2 linked regions of the Saccharomyces cerevisiae S288C genome follow. The protein of the gene in region 2 interacts with the protein of the main gene of each other region in a pairwise test. Each region holds a gene or a part of one and is shown on either strand. Other genes may lie near its edges.

What was found. Proteins that work in one complex are often made in the same cells at the same time.
Region 1: the proteins of ATX1 (region 2) and PXA2 interact in a protein complementation assay, tested with the Saccharomyces cerevisiae proteins (one large-scale study listed by BioGRID).

What each region holds. Positions count from the first base shown.
Region 1 is NC_001143.9:83,702-93,297, reverse strand, and holds PXA2 (ATP-binding cassette long-chain fatty acid transporter PXA2), read left to right. Parts: upstream 1-4,511; coding exon 4,512-7,073; downstream 7,074-9,596. Other genes in the region: MTR2 (Mtr2p), read left to right, coding at 1-554; FAT3 (Fat3p), read left to right, coding at 1,762-4,014; HYM1 (Hym1p), read right to left, coding at 7,395-8,594.
Region 2 is NC_001146.8:152,084-159,447, reverse strand, and holds ATX1 (copper metallochaperone ATX1), read left to right. Parts: upstream 1-1,582; coding exon 1,583-1,804; downstream 1,805-7,364. Other genes in the region: DSL1 (Dsl1p), read left to right, coding at 1-1,339; ribosome biosynthesis protein LTO1, read left to right, coding at 2,101-2,589; ORC5 (origin recognition complex subunit 5), read right to left, coding at 2,909-4,348; POL2 (DNA polymerase epsilon catalytic subunit), read right to left, coding at 4,568-7,364. UniProt on the Saccharomyces cerevisiae protein: Copper homeostasis factor that specifically transports copper to the secretory pathway for incorporation into copper enzymes destined for the cell surface or extracellular milieu.

The DNA of each region.
Region 1 (9,596 bases), on a different chromosome or scaffold from region 2:
TGAACACCAATAGTAATACTATGGTAATGAATGACGCAAATCAAGCACAAATAACGGCCACATTTACGAAGAAGATATTAGCGCATTTGGATGATCCGGACTCCAACAAATTGGCCCAATTCGTACAGCTTTTTAATCCAAACAACTGCAGAATAATATTTAATGCTACCCCCTTCGCGCAAGCAACAGTTTTTCTGCAAATGTGGCAAAACCAGGTCGTACAAACACAACATGCCCTAACAGGAGTAGACTATCACGCTATTCCGGGATCCGGCACGTTGATATGCAACGTCAATTGCAAAGTCAGATTCGACGAAAGCGGCAGAGACAAGATGGGGCAAGACGCGACTGTTCCCATTCAACCAAATAACACTGGGAACAGAAATCGACCCAACGATATGAACAAGCCAAGACCTCTATGGGGTCCATATTTTGGCATTTCCCTGCAGCTGATCATCGACGACCGCATATTTAGAAATGATTTTAATGGTGTAATATCGGGGTTTAACTATAACATGGTTTACAAACCCGAGGATTCTCTGCTAAAAATTTAGTGGGAAGATTCCGCTCTACCAGGGAAAAACAAAATTATATAGAAAAGAAGGTAAGTAATAAGTAATACGAAAAAACCCAAAAAAAAAATTCAAATACCCCAACCCTGTGCCCTTTCTATTTTTATGGTTGAAAAGGTTACAGAGGATCCTCTGGAGCGGTGACAACAGTTGACGCAATCATGGTCCCTGGCGGTCCCTAAGGATATCTCGGAGGAACCGAGGCACGGAAACGGCTGCACGGGTACGCCAGATAAGGATAATTCAGCCGTCACGCATGAACAGAAGGATGAGCATTTGCTCACCTTCCTGGACTTAACTTGCGTGAATGAAAAGAAGAACACCAATGTTAGAGTAGGGCTTCGCACCAAACTTTAATCAAGAAATCTGAGGAGAAATGATTCTAAGTCTAGCCACGAAAACTGCAAAGCGCACCAAAAGTAAGAAACGACAAAGTTTTTCTAGCATTTTTTTGTTTCATCAAGAGAAGAAACACGATTTATATAACTGTTACCGCTAAAACCTACATCTAAACTTTTTAATATCTGAAAGCGCTAGTCGTGTGTACCCCCCTCAACTGATCAACTGGTCAACGAGCTTTACTTGTGGAAGTTCATGGCAAACGCTCCTTGGCTTTTGCCTAGTCTTGTTCTATGGCACATTTTTCTGTTGAGTTACACCCCGCGTGCTAAAAAAGGGGTGAACCATCAGAAAGCTTATTACTGAGTTTTGCGGAGCATCGCTCGGAGCGGCGGAATTGAATCGAACCGCCGTGCTATTACCGAACAAAAAAATTCGAAAGCATAAACTCAGTAGTGAAAAACTTGAGAATTTTCAGATGAGTGGCGACTTTCCAGTCCTTGCGGTTTTGTCACCTTAGTCAGCTAGTAAGGAGGCCGTGTGGGTTAGAGTGGCTACAATCCTCAAAGGGCACTTCTAGAACCCACGGTGAATTTTTTTTGGCATGATAAATCGGTAGAATCGGTGAAGTAATTACCCAAAAAAGGATCGGGATTGTGTTTCTCGTAATTCCGTATTATTGCCGATGGCATCGACTACTTCTTTTTTCAGAAACCCCAACAAGGGTCTATTGTAATTGTATATAAACCTTTTTGTAATGGATATATACATGTGGTACTATTTCTCCTCATCCTGCTCCATCGAAAATCCTCATACGAAGAGTTAGGAAAGCAAAGAAAACAACAAAAACATGAGGATCGAAAAGCACCGTACCCCCCTGTCGAAGGGAATTATTTGGACGATATTGTCTGTGTGCCTTTTATTCATGTTCACCACACTGATATTGGTTATTGTAGCCACTGCTGGCTCCACCGCCAACTACAAACCCTTAACGAATATATACATCGGTGAAGCCGATATCAAACACATCAATGTAAGCAAGGTGATCCCGCAGATAGGCCCTATTTTGACAATATTAGGGTCCGCTTTGACGGCTCCGAACAGCTCCTTGGATGATATTTTTGGCGCCATGAAAAATATTGCTGATACTCCCGCGCTGACGCCGCTATTGACGCTTTTGTCTAATGCTGACAACACCACAGTAACCATCGAATCATTGACCGAATTGGCTCCCTTAGCGATCAGCGGCAATCCTGCTTCTAGCACGAGGCAGTTGACAGAGATTAATGGGCTGCTGAAGTATTCAGACAACGCAACTGAAACACTAGATGGCCTCTCAAGGTTAGTTTCTGCTTCGCTGTCTTCCGCAAGCTCTAACTCTTCCAGTGACTCAACTACTTTGGTTCTGGACTTATTAAAAGACTCCGATAACCCACAGAATTCCACAGATGCATTGCTAACTCTGAATAATCTGACAATGTCAGAAAAGGCGCAATTGTTACCGGTATTCAGGCTATTCGCTTTCTCCACGAACCAAACAGCTACAATGACGGCTCTGGCGACCTTGATGAACACTACTATTTCATCTTCTTTAGCCCAAACACTATTAACTCAGTTACAAAACACAATTTCAAACGGAGGTTCCCTAAATAACACGTTTAGTACTTTGCAACCACTAGTGCCGCAGGCAAGCGCCCCCGCATTTGATGCAGTGGAATTGCTGCTAAACCAGACCACCTCTACAAATCAGACATTGAGCACTCTATCTGATTTGCTGGAACAAAACCTCACTCAGTCATCATCTGCAAAAAAGGCGTTTGCTGCCTTAACCCAATTGATGGAAAATTCGGACAACTCGACAATGGTTGTCACTTCGGTCCAATCTCTAGCTGCGGTGACAAATACAACTCAATCTACTCAACAGCTAATTGGATTAGATGATGTGATAAGCTCCTCGAGTAACACCAACGAAACTTTGTCCATCTTGTCCGAATTACAATCGGGCCTATCCGGTAATTCAAGCTCCGTACAGTACATTCCATATCTCTTCAGTCTTTTAGGGGCATCCACTGATCCTAAAACAACATTTTCATCTTTAGTGACGCTGACTTCCTGGGCTCAAGAAAACCCTCAGACCTTCTTGCCCATTTTAGATATATTAGCGGATGCCAAATCCGTCCAACCGATTTCCGCAGAAGAATTGAACGCCATGACGCCGAATATACTAGAGTATCTGAAAATTCCGATTTACTATCGCTTATCCATTTTCACGCTATGCCATGCTAACCTGGAAAACAAGATCCTAGATTGTAACTCCCCACATGCTGTACAAAACTTGGATTTTAGATCGATTATTTATGACGCATTAGTCACATCAGACTTCCAACCATATCTGAACGCCCTGAATATTAGCGCCAACGATCTTTACCTAGAAGGGAAACTTTTACACAGAGAGCACCAATATGTGCCAGCAGTGAGGTCTGTTTTGGCTTTGAACCTCTTAGCGATCATCTTTTCCTTCTTTACCATGATTTTTATTATATTACTGTACTTTAACAGATATATGTTCAAACAACCATTATGGCTCATTGCCCTAGCTCTACACGTTTGCGTTGGTGTAGCCACTGTATTGGCAGCCATTATCATATCCGTTATGATTGCCATTATAAAGAGCGGTACGGCAGATGATAAATATGGTGTTGTGTTTAAAGCCGGTCCCGCCTATACAGGGCTGATATGGACAGCATTTGCGTTGTCTTTTATCGCCACAGGATTGATAATTTATACGTGGTGGAGGAACAGACGGAGTGGTCGTTACATGTCCGGATCTGTGACGAATAGGAAAGGCGAAATTTACACGTATGGGGATGGTTCTGCCATTTCTGCAGACCGTTTCGGCGACCATAACTTGGGTGATGATGATGATGCTGATTTCGAAAAACAGGTGAATCGTAATGAAATAACCGCTATCGACAACAGTAGTTCTGCCAATAATACAGATGTCACAGGTAGTACGAGTAATAGAACAGAGCTAAGTCACCCCGACGTGACACCAAAAGATTCAAATGGACCTGTTAACAATAATGCACATTTGGTAGCATAATTTTTTTCTTTTTCGTAAATGCTCTATCACTTTTTTTCAATTGTACCAAACCATTTACAGCGTTATCTTAATCTCTTATATTGAATTATAGTACATACCACACCATCATCCTTATTTAATAGCTTTATTTAAATTTCAAAACAAAAATTAATAATAATTTGGTAATTATTCATATTTTTGGAATATATGCAATTAATGTTCTTTCGTCTTTGATGTATATTCCTTCGGCGTTAATTACAACTATCACCGTAAAGTTTTTACCACCCTCCGAAAGATTAAGGGCGGCAATGAAATGTGGAGTAAAGTGAATGTTAGATGATGATATTGATGGCTTTGCTCGATCAAAGATAATATTATATTTAAGTATCATCTTGTCCTCAATCCGGTACAAAACAAACGTCTTCAACATTGTTATCTGTATTTTGTTCGTCTTGAATATGGAAAAGACTCAAAAGGGATAATAATACAATTAAAAGTTACCGAAGAAAGATTTTATAATGATCTCAACAGCTTCTGCATTTTATCAGAAGCATAGAGTAAATTTACTGCGTTCTTCATACATAATATTGTTGCTAGCCACGCTTTACAATTCAAATTCCAGTTCTAGTAACAACAAAACTGATAAGAAGGATTCTGAGTCAACGGTTTTAGAAAATAAGAAAATTGAAGAGGGAAAAGAAACCGCAGTAGATAGAGAGGAAGATGAAAGTAGCAAAGAAGAGTTAACGATAGTCTCCAAACATAGCACAGATTCAGAAGATGGTGCAATAATAATTGATAAAGAAAGCAAGACTAATCATAAGGGGGGAGAGCGAAAAGGAAAGGTAGATTTTTTGTTCAAACTTTTGCTTCATGATAAGAAGTGCCTCATTTTATTTATTACACAGGCTATTCTTCTGAACATCAGAACATTGCTGTCTCTTCGTGTGGCTACTTTAGATGGTCAATTAGTGTCCACACTAGTAAGAGCTCAATACGCAAACTTCACAAAGATATTGTTGGGGAAATGGATGATCCTTGGAATTCCCGCCAGTTTTATTAATTCACTGATCAGTTACACGACAAAACTTTGTGCTGTCACTATTAATAGGAAAGTTTCAGACTTTCTACTCTCAAAGTATCTATCTAATCACCATACTTTCTATTCCGTAGCTTCTGCTGAATCTGTTTCAGAAATTCAGGATAATTTGACAAAAGATATTTACACATTTTCAATGAACTCGTCATTATTACTGAATCAGCTATTAAAGCCAATGCTGGATTTGATCCTCTGTTCATTCAAATTATTAACCTCAAACACTAGTGTTATGGGTGAAGGAACTTTGGCACTGGGCTTAATTGTCTACGCCTCCAATTCATTACTAAAATTGATTCAACCGAATTTCACTAGGTTAACTATGGCAAGCGCATCTTTGGAAAGTTGGTTCAGATCTTTACACTCGAATCTACATTCAAGCAATGAAGAAATTGCACTGCTAAGAGGGCAAAAGAGGGAACTAGAAAACGTTGATTATTCATTTTACCGTTTGGTGCTATTTTTAAACAGAGAAATAAAGGCAAGAGCTATTTATGATGTTGCTACTGCATTTGTCATTAAATATACTTGGGGCGCAGCTGGCTTGGTACTATGCTCGATTCCAATATTTTTCAAAAACAAACCTAGTGAAGACACCTTACAGCTTAAGGAACCCGGGAATGATATGACGGCTGATTTCATCACAAATAGAAGATTATTAGTCACTGCATCTAGCTCTATCGGAAGATTTGTGGAACTGAAGAGAAATATACAACAATTACGCGGTATCAGATTGAGATTGAACAAGTTCAATGATTTGTTGGATGCTAATAAAGGTGATGACGAAAAAGAACCAAGAGATGAAAGGTGTATAGTGGAATATGATGATTCAAGGATAAAGTTTGAAAATATTCCTTTAATAACACCTGCCAATCAAGTTCTAGTACCGGAGCTAAGTTTTGATCTGAAGCATGGAAATCATCTACTAATTATTGGGCCCAACGGTTGCGGTAAATCTTCATTATTTCGTATTCTAGGCGGGCTTTGGCCGATAAGGGCGACTCCCAATAAAAATCATCAATCCAAGTTAATAATGCCGCGTAGAACTGTGGATAGAGATTGCGCAATATTTTATTTACCCCAAAGGCCGTATATGGGCAATAGGTCGACATTCAGGGAACAGATTATTTATCCAGACAGTATTGAACAATTCAAAGAAAGATATCACAATGATTATGATCTAGGCGATGCAGATTTAATAAAAATTCTGCAATTATTAGATTTGGAGGATTTAGTCACTGAAAATATGTCACTTCTGCTGGCGCAAAGGACTTCCAAAAATGATTCACAGCAGTTGTCGACGGAAGACAATCAGTCACCATGCGCCATTAAAGTTCGTGATGCATTCAGTATAGTAAGAAATTGGTCCGAAGAATTAACAATTGGTGTCCAACAAAGGTTAGCTATGGCAAGGATGTACTATCATAAACCCAAGTTTGCTGTGCTCGACGAATGTACATCTGCAGTAGCCCCAGAAATGGAACAAAGGATGTACGAAAATGCGCAAAATTTTGGTATCTCGTTAATATCAGTTTGCCACAGGACAAGTTTATGGCATTTTCATAACTATCTGTTAAAATTTGATGGTAAAGGCGGATACCAATTTGGACCGTTTAACCCGAAGGAAAGGTTATGTAATGAAGAAAAACTTCTTGAACTAAATGCCATCTTGGATCAACAGGTGCCACTTTGGGAGCGGAAGTTGAAAGATCTGACAATTGCTAAAGAATCCAACATCATTCGTAAATCAGAAACTAACCTGAATCTTTTTGAAAAGATCGAAGATCCAAAAACGTCCAAATCTAATGCATTGTTTAATGCAAATAAAGGGCAGCGAATCACATCACCTACAGGGCAGGAGACTAGTAAGAGATTACCACTATTTTCCCAACCATCTAGTTCAGCATCATCAAATTTACTAAGAAACAATAAAAGCTTGAACAAAAAAGTTAAAACAAAAAAGGAAGAAGGAAAGGAGAGGTAACATACATAGCCAAAGGAGGATCCAAATCATGTATAAATTGGATAAATAAATTGTTTTATAATAATTTAATATCTTGAGAAAGCGCTCATATTTACGGTTGATTGCTCAATTCCATGTACCGGATCCAACTGTACTGGCTTCCTCAGCCTCCGGTACCAACCTTTTTTTGTATAAATACGTAAAAATACAAAAGTCTGAACTATTTTTCCCTTTTTATGCAAATAAACACTTTCCTATATATAATTTTACTTTTGAATATTCATGTCACGACCCACTGCCTGAGAACTTTCCATTTTTTATAAAGTGAACCAAGTTTTATAGTTATCTTGAATCAGGTGAAGTTGAATGTGTTAAGATGGATGATTGATTGTTCATTACTGATGATGGAGAAGTTATACTGGCGACGTTACTTGAGGATGCATTATTATTAGAAACTTCTGTTGTGGACGAAATTATACGCGGCAAGGAATCAATTTCTTGAACGATGAATTCTCTTTCATCAAGAAAAGTAGAATCCTGAGAATCTAAACCGAAAGTTTTAAAATACGTCAATAGTTTATCTCTGTTTTTAACAAGAATGTCAAAAACAGGTTTTGACTTCCTTGGGTTTGCTACCATCACCTTGAATACGTTGAAAGCTTCAAGTTGTAAGTTTTTAGATTTGTCAGTCATTAAAGTCATTATGAGCTTTAAGTTTTCTGGGGAGTTGATATATATATTCATCAACGCGTTGTTAGATCTTATCACAATTAATGAGGCCAACAGTTTAGTGCTCTGCCTTTTCGTTACGTAGCTTCCATGAGCCATTAACTTGTTAATACATTTAATGAATCTTATGATATTAATCTCATTACTGAAGAATTCCTTAGACACTAATTTAGGATGTGCAGTAAATGCGGCACTTAATATTTGTAAAGATTCCGTACTGATTTCGAAATTACCCAGTTTCGCAAACTCAAAGAATTTCCATAGTTGAGGGTCCTTTAATATAATCCTACAAAGTTGTTCGTATTTGATACATTCAATAATCATATTCCCTACCGTTAAAAAGATATCTTGGCAACCCTTTTGTTGTAGAGCAACTTCCGCAGTCCTCAACATTAAAGATATGGTCTTTGGTTGCGAGACTAAATAATCTACTGTGACGAATTTATTATCCTTAGAGTATCCAAGGCATATAGAGAATATAAGCATGCATTCTCTCCTTGCTTCGAATTCCAAATCCACAAAATGAAGTAGCAGTTCATAGAACACGTCGGCACGATGCATGGCAGTATAAAGCTCGTCAATGGCTTCCGGAGTTGGGTGAGGATCCGTATCACCGACAATAAAATGTTTAGTGCCAATTAGATATTTTGTGCACTCTTCTTGTACCTTTCGTTTGTTATCCTGAGTCAGCGAGGGTGAGCTGAATTTATTTAGTTGTTCGATGATCAACCTGGCATAATCGGAAGGGGTCTTGGGGTTTTTCTTCCACCAAAATGCCATGTCCAAGTCTTGATTTTTGTATTTCTTAAACATTTGTCTTCGATTTGCGGATAATTTATACTGGGGATTACGTGCAATAAGCCTCTTACGGATAACACGTATTCTTTGGCTTAACTACTCCGAGATTAAATCGTATTGTTAAAACAAGAAGCTATCAACGCCTGTAAATATTGTGTCAGTGCCACTTTTGAAACAATTCTGAGACCACTTTTTATTTTTATTTTTCCAAGAGTGCAATCAGCGGGTTTCCTCCTTATTTGCGTTTGGAGCAATCTTCCCTTTTTCGAACACAAAATCCAAAATTTGGAGCAATTGGCTCTTCAAAATCAACGGTACATGCTCCTTATATTGGTAATAAATAATTCATATCCAGCCTCCTCTTATGGCTGCATAATGGAAAGGATCAACGCTTGCAACACAAAAATAAATTAAAAAAAAAAATTACTGAAGGATGCGAGGTTCGAACTCGCGCGGACAACCGTCCAACAGATCTTAAGTCTGCCGCCTTAGACCACTCGGCCAACCCTCCATACAAATTTTACTTACTGGAAACTCCCGAAGTGTTGTCAACACGTTTTAGGATATGAACTTATCCAATAAACCAATATCACAGTTTAACTTTATTGGAATAGGAATCAAAGATGGTCTGTCTCCTAGCATTAGTATTGCTGGTAATTATCATATACGGTGTAAGAAGATAGTATGATGATTGAGAGATAGTCATCGGGTTTAACGGAAGCTGATATGTAAGGATTGATAATGCAGTGGGATAGTGAATAACAACACATAAAACAAAGAAGAAGTAATAATCTTAATTTATATAACTATTGATCCCCCTTTGTGCATTGCCATATTTTTGAGGAAAATCTCTGGTATTCTGTATGTCTGATATCAAAGCTATTAATAACAATGGAATCCCAAAAATTATCAAAGTACACCCCGCAGTTATTACATGAGATCAGCTTCCATCTTGGTATATCTCGTCGCTGACATATATGCTCTCTCTCATCTCTATGTTGTATCATTGCTTTCTTA
Region 2 (7,364 bases):
CATAAATAACAAACTAACTAGACTAGTTGCCAAATCAGAAGTTACCAATTGGACACATTCCGGTAAAGAGATTCAGGATTTGTTAATGAACAAACAATTATACTACAATTTATTACTAGATAAAGTTCTTGAATCGCATATTAGTGAGATAAGAAGTATATTTGAAGATCCAAAAAAGAGCTGGCAAAATTTGGAAGTAGTTGAGCTCACTACTAGCAATACTAATACGATGAGCGAAAAAATTGGAAAAAATGATTCAGATGTACAGAACGAAAAAGAACTCCATAATGCCGTATCCAAAGATGATGATTGGAATTGGGAAGTAGAGGATGATGATGCCGATGCATGGGGTGATGAAATTGATGTAAATATTGACGACGAGGAAGAAAAAACAAATCAAGAGAAGGAAAAAGAACCAGAAGAAGAAGAAAATGCCTGGGATGAAGCCTGGGCAATTGACGAAAATATAGATGATGCTTCCCTAGAAAATGGAAAGGAACATTTAAAAGCTCATGATGTAGGATCACTTGATAAAGACCACATTGAAGTTACACAGTTACCAAAATTGTTCTTGGCAATTTCACAGAATTTCAAGAGTAGCTTTGCAGATAGCCATGTTGATGAGCAATACTTTGCGTACAAATACAACCTTTTGCAGACATCGTATATGGCCATGTGCACAGCTAATTTTTCTCACAATTGGTGCCAATTATATGTGGATATGAGATATCTAATAGAACGAGATGAAAAGCTGTATAGAATAAAAGAATTAACAAGGAACCTGCTGGAAACTAAACTGAACATGAAATATCGTATTGTCTGTCAACTAATCAGGCATCAATTGACCGAATTTCGTGAGAACGAGAGAAATCCATCGTGGGACGCCACCATTGAGAAACTGCTACCTTATATCTTGAAGGAAATTGTTCGTCCACTGCAGAAAATAAGAGGTGAAGAAGGTTCCCGTTACTTGTTGTCTTTCTTAAACTTTTTATATAACGATTGCGTGACAAAGGAAATATTAAAATGGCAGATTATCTCTGAGGTCAATTCCGAAAATTTGGGTGAGCTCGTATCTTTATTAGTGAACAACACCGATATACAATTATTAGCGAAGGAACCAAGTTACAAAAAGATGAGAGAAAAATTCGCCACTATGGGCAAGTTTCTACCATTACATTTAAAGGAGATTATGGAGATGTTTTACAATGGGGATTTTTATCTTTTTGCGACAGACGAACTAATCCAATGGATAGAGTTATTGTTTGCCGACACTCCCCTGCGAAGGAATGCCATTGATGATATTTACGAAATTAGAGGCACTGCTCTAGATGATTAAAAAATAATTAATCGTAGGATAGGTTACATGATCATTGCAATAGATGTACATCTTGTATTACGTATGCGTAAGTTGTCTTTTTTTCAGTTTTCTAATAAATTTCACGTGATGCGGTAGTTTTTTTTGGGGGTGCAAAGTTGGCACATCTTGTAGTGCATTTTTGAGCTTCTTAAATGACTTGAATCATCTTAAAACATTGCAGGATGAGATTTCCAACGACACAAGAGAGAACTAGCGCAAAAGATGGCAGAGATAAAACATTATCAATTCAATGTCGTCATGACCTGCTCGGGATGTTCTGGTGCAGTCAATAAAGTTTTGACGAAATTAGAACCAGACGTTTCCAAAATAGATATATCCCTTGAAAAGCAATTAGTAGATGTATATACTACACTTCCTTACGATTTTATTTTAGAAAAGATTAAGAAAACCGGAAAGGAAGTTAGATCTGGCAAACAATTGTGAATGAAAGTGAAGAGAAATAGTTTTTTACTCTATTTTGTATTGTAGCTACTTAAGTAAATGATTAATATTCTCAATAGGATGCTTACGAAGAAAAAAGTCTTTTTTTATTGTTTTATTGTTTTATTCTTTGTTGGCTATGTAGCCATTTGCCTTTTCAGTATAATCTTACTAATATAAAAATCTCAATCATGGTGAGAAATCGTTTTATAAGAAAAATGAAAAAAAACTTGTTTAAATCAAATCACTTATCATATTTGAAGAGTAAATGGAAAGTAAAGATCACTGGACAAATAAAAATGGATTTTGATAATTTACTAAACCTAGAAGAACAGTATTACCAAGAAGGTTTTCTGGAGGGCCAGAATGAGAATATAAAGCAGAGCTTTCTAGAAGGTAAACAGTATGGTTTACAAGTGGGATTCCAAAGATTTACGCTCCTGGGACAAATGGAAGGTTTGTGTGATGTTATAGAATCGTATGGATTGCATAGTCCAACACTAGAAAAGAATATACATACCATTCGTACTTTAATGAAAGGTTTGAAAATGAATAACGATGATGAAAGTGTGATGGAATTTGAGAGGGTGTTAATAAAATTGAAAAATAAGTTTAGAACCATTCTAATAACTCTTCATCGATTAGTTAAAGATAAAAGAACCCCCACCGTGACATTTGAAGTCTTTGAAGACGTTTCAAGGGCCATTGCCGGAGAAATTAGAGGTTTTGTAGAAAATGAAGACATCGCAAAGAATAAGACAAAACAAAATCAGGCTCAATCCTGGTAAGAATACCAAGTGAAGAACATTATCGCCGGCCGCCAAAAAGAGCAACTAAACTAACAATTTTGCGCCGTTCAGTCTCCTCATTCATTGTTTTTCCATACAGTAGGGCGCTTTTAATAGTTTCTAGTGGACTGAATTAATAACGGTTATACGTATTAATCTTTGATTACCATATCCAAGAAACAGAGCGTAGAGCGTGGGAACAAAAAATACAAGGTTTACTTGATAATTGTTCATTCTATCCCACTATGTATAAATATTTATATAACGTAGTTGTTGTTTCGAACGTATCCTGCCCTCTGGATACCTTCCAGGGAGATAATCATTCGTGAATATCGCTGAAGTAATCGCTGATATTGAAATGAACAGATTCTGATATTTCTTTAATAATTTCCCAGGGAACGTTTACTTTCCACCTGACTTTAGGACTCAAATAGTCGATATTCTTGTTCATGGTTGTAGCTATTAATTTCAATGTATGCAATTCGGATAAATTTTGAAAAACCTCGATATTCGCTTTCATTAAGGATTCCTCACGAAGTGCAGATAGGGAACCACTCTCCGCCTTACCTTGAATAGGGAATATAGCTTGGAAAATAGCCAAAAGTCTTTCAATAGCAAATAAAGAAGGCTGTAAATATCTAGGGTTAACTTCTTTCTTCTTTCTTCGTCCATAAGCAGCTCTACCTTGTATGATACGTGTTTTCCTAGAGAAAATACTCGCATCGTATCTAGGTTCCAGATATGAACAAATATATGAGGCTATGAGCAGATACTTCGAAATTATTGATAAGTCGTAAGTTTGACTGTTCTCAAGGTCATCACGATTTGTGGTTATCGCGCTTTCACCTTGTCCATTTTCACTTAAATTATCATCTGTGCTTAAAAATAGTTTGATGGCACTTTTGTAAAGAGCCAGTGGTTCAAATATGTTTTCCTTAGTAATGCGAGATACATACTTGGGCCATTTGAAGTCTATCAAGTCATTCAATGCGAATATGTCGTTTCCAGTATAAGAATGAAAAGCCTGCACAATTAAGTGAATGAAGTTCGCAGCTACATTTTGAAATTGATCGTCTGTACAGTCCGTTATCTGCTCTTCAATGATACGCTTACGTAGACAAGAATCTTCCATGAGTTCGCCACATCTAGACATCACTAATATAGTAGAAACTTCGTCCACATTATACCTCGGAAACATAACAGTTGGAATGCAATGTGTAGAATATCTTTGCAAAAATGATGTCTCTAACATCGTGTAAATGAATTTTATATTAATTTTAGAATCTTTTGGAAGTAATTCATTTAGTTTGATATATTTGTTAAACAGTGCGGCGTCTAAATCTTGTAAACTATCGAAACCATCCAATATCAAGAACAAGCAAGTCTTTTCTTGCAAAGATTCATATTGGACAAAAATATTGTGCAACGTCTTTACCAAAAGAAATGGCTCTTCAACCTGTAAAGGATCGTAATCTGTGGTGGGAATGTTTGGATATAGGGTTTTCAATTTATATTGTACAGTACGTGCTATCGCCTGCAGTAAGGGCTTCCAAGAAACCAACTCAACAGGTTCCAGCCATACTGCATGCAAATTTGGATTCGCATTAAAATACTTCTTCAAAGTGTAGGTTTTTCCTGTTCCACTATAACCTTGCAAGATTAAATTTGAAGGAGTTATGTCTGGATCAGCAGAAATATACGATGCGAGACAGTTGGTTTGATATTCCCTAAAAGCAACTTCCGGAGTGGTCACATTCATTTTATTTCCAAAAGTATTAAGAAGAAAATAAAAGAAAAGTACTTGTGATTTAAATATCAAAGAAGAGTGTTAATTATGTTCAAGGGCTAATTTTTCGGTTATTTATATTTATATGTTCAGAAACGAATTGAAAATACTCTTTTTCCTTACCTTTTTTTTTTTTTTTTTTTTTTTTTCATGGTAAAGAGGCCATTGAACCTCGCGTTATATACTGCTTACTCATATGGTCAAATCAGCAATACAACTCAATAATATATCAAAACCGTAATACTTGGCTACTTGCTTAAACACATTTAACTTTTGAACAATGCTTTCTCTGGGGAGAGTTCCTTCCCACGCGCCGGCACATGGACAGTGGGCACTCATATAGTCACGTTTCACTTTATGACATCTGGAGCATCTCAAATCTTGAATTAAATAGGATTCGATATCAGAACGTAGTTTTTGAATCAGGTGTTCTTGCAACAATACTTGATTAAAGGCTTTGTGACATCTGACGCATGAAAAAATAGATTCAGGAGCTGCCTTACAAAAGTCAATATCAGAAATGAAAAAACAGTATTCACATAAAAAATCCGGCACCACGAGACTCAAACTTGGATCTTTGAATTCCGCTACTTTAGCAAACTCACGCAATTCAAATATCTTCAGCAGTTCTTTTCTCAGGGTCCTGATTTCTAAAATTGTACTCTTTGAAAGTAACATGACATGGCAGAGTGATTTGACAAGTTCTAGAAGGGGATTTTTCACATTCAGATGGGAACCAGGAAGAACAGGAATAACATAGTCTGCCTCATACTGAGGATCTAAAATGAACTCTTGCTGGTTTTTAAAAAGCTTTTTGACTCTTTTCATTAGTGGTTTGGAAAAAAGGTGAGAAAATCCGTTCAACGAGTTTTCAACACTATCTTCCTTATCTTGTTTTTTTACATTAACTATTTGGGTAGGTCTTTGCGTCCCTGAATTCAATTTTAGATAGCTCTGCTTTGTCTTTAGCATACTATCCAATATGATCATCATCCAATCCTCAAATTCGGGCTGATATATTGGTGACAGAAACTTCTTTAGTTGCCATTGCGAAACAGCGGTATAATCCTGATTTTCCTTTTCCTCTATTTCAATACATGCTAATCCACTAAAATTAAACTTATCCATCCATATTAGCAGATCCCAATAACGTTTGATATTTAAGTCCAGATAACTAAACATTGGATTTGTTCTAACTGCCTTCATCATATATTGGCTGTAGGCGTAACAGTTTTCAGGTGAGTACTTGTTTGTCTTTATTAGAATTTGATTCCTGTCTGCATATACAATAGTTGAGCCAAGTGCACTAAATTCATTTACTAATTGAAGTAAGGCTTTTTTTGTTAAGTTATGAACGTGATATCTTAGTAATCCGTCGAATAGTTTCGCATTCGGGTTTTGAACCCAACTTGCCAGGGAATTTACCAACAAATCTGCGGTTGAATTTTCTTTTAGGGCCTCATCCCACCACTCCTTTAACATACCTCTTAAAACATTCAAAGCGTCATTAGAAAAGGCGTCGTGCACGAATTCAGATGGCGAGTTAATAACGGCATCTTTGTCATCTATACCCATATTATTGTTAACTAGATCACTGCCTTCAGCATCATTGATTAATGCTGATGTCAAAATTGTGTTCACTGTTAAATTATCAACACCAACATCGAGAACTACATTGTCATACACACCTGAGTTATTAATTTTGGGAAATTCTGAATCATTCATTATCCATGATGTATTTAAATCAAAATCATTTTGAATGCCTCCATGATCTGGAAGTGGAGCTTTCTCATTCCACCAAAGCACGATGTTCTCTTTTTTTAGTTTTCTTGCATAAAGAACATCAATAATATAATCCATACTATCCAGCCTCAAATTACAGATTGGAATGTTACTATACTGGGATAACTTGATCAAGTGAGAAATCCACGAACCACTGGATAAAACGTGGTTAACAAGTTTCTTCAATAATGTCGGTTGCCAGTTCAATTGGGGTAGAAGAACTTCATTCAAGGAAAGCTTAACAATGGGCATCTGGTTTAGAAGCCGGATTGTGCCTAAGAGCTTAGTGATAAACGGAGATTGTAACAAGAGTAAAAACTGCAGACCTCTTTCTTCTTTTAATTTAGTAGTTTCCTGTGATAGTCTTCTGTACAATTTTGAGATATCTGTAAAATATACAAACTCAAAATTGATATCTTCTTTAATATCAACCAAGTAAGAATATGTTTCTATTTTACCTTTCTTTTTTTCAAACATTTGTTTGTATATTTGTCCTAATGATGAGGCATTTATTTCCTGAGCCTGGTTGGATGGTTTCAAAACTAATATAGTAATAGTATCTCCCCATGACTTGAATAATGAAAAAAATTCATACCCAATTGATGTTGGGAAATGTAGTAAATAGCCAATGTCCATTGAAAATCCACTCAGATACCTTTCATTTTCCGCCATTGAAAGATCCTTCATTTCAAAACCCTGCTGTATTCCCTTGCCTAACGCACCCATTGCTTTTGAGCGGAACGTTACCGAAGCTCCCAAATCCATGATCGCTCTTTGATGAGGAGTGATAGTGCCCTCAAATACACCAAGTACATTTTCATCGTTGAAGATACTAGTGCAGTTTTCCTTTTCTTCCAGAAAGACAGATTCCGGTAGAGTAATTTTGAATAGCTGACCGCCTGCTGGATTAGACGTTTTGGGATTATTTGGTAACGATGCAGAAGATTTTTCAATAAGGCAATTCTTAATCTTTTGTAGCGGCATTGTTTGAGATTTGAATTTCATATAAATAGTTTTTGGTATATGGAAGGTGATGTTCTGGACTTTGCCATTAATTGTTACAAATACTTCCAAAACCCCTGGCTCACCGGAATCCTTGTATTGTAAGACCTCCCAAGTGGAGTTCGCATATGATTCAGCTTGCTTCCTAATCATACTTCCTAGTGCACTTCTTTCACGGGAGCTGTTTGTATTACCAAATAATTGG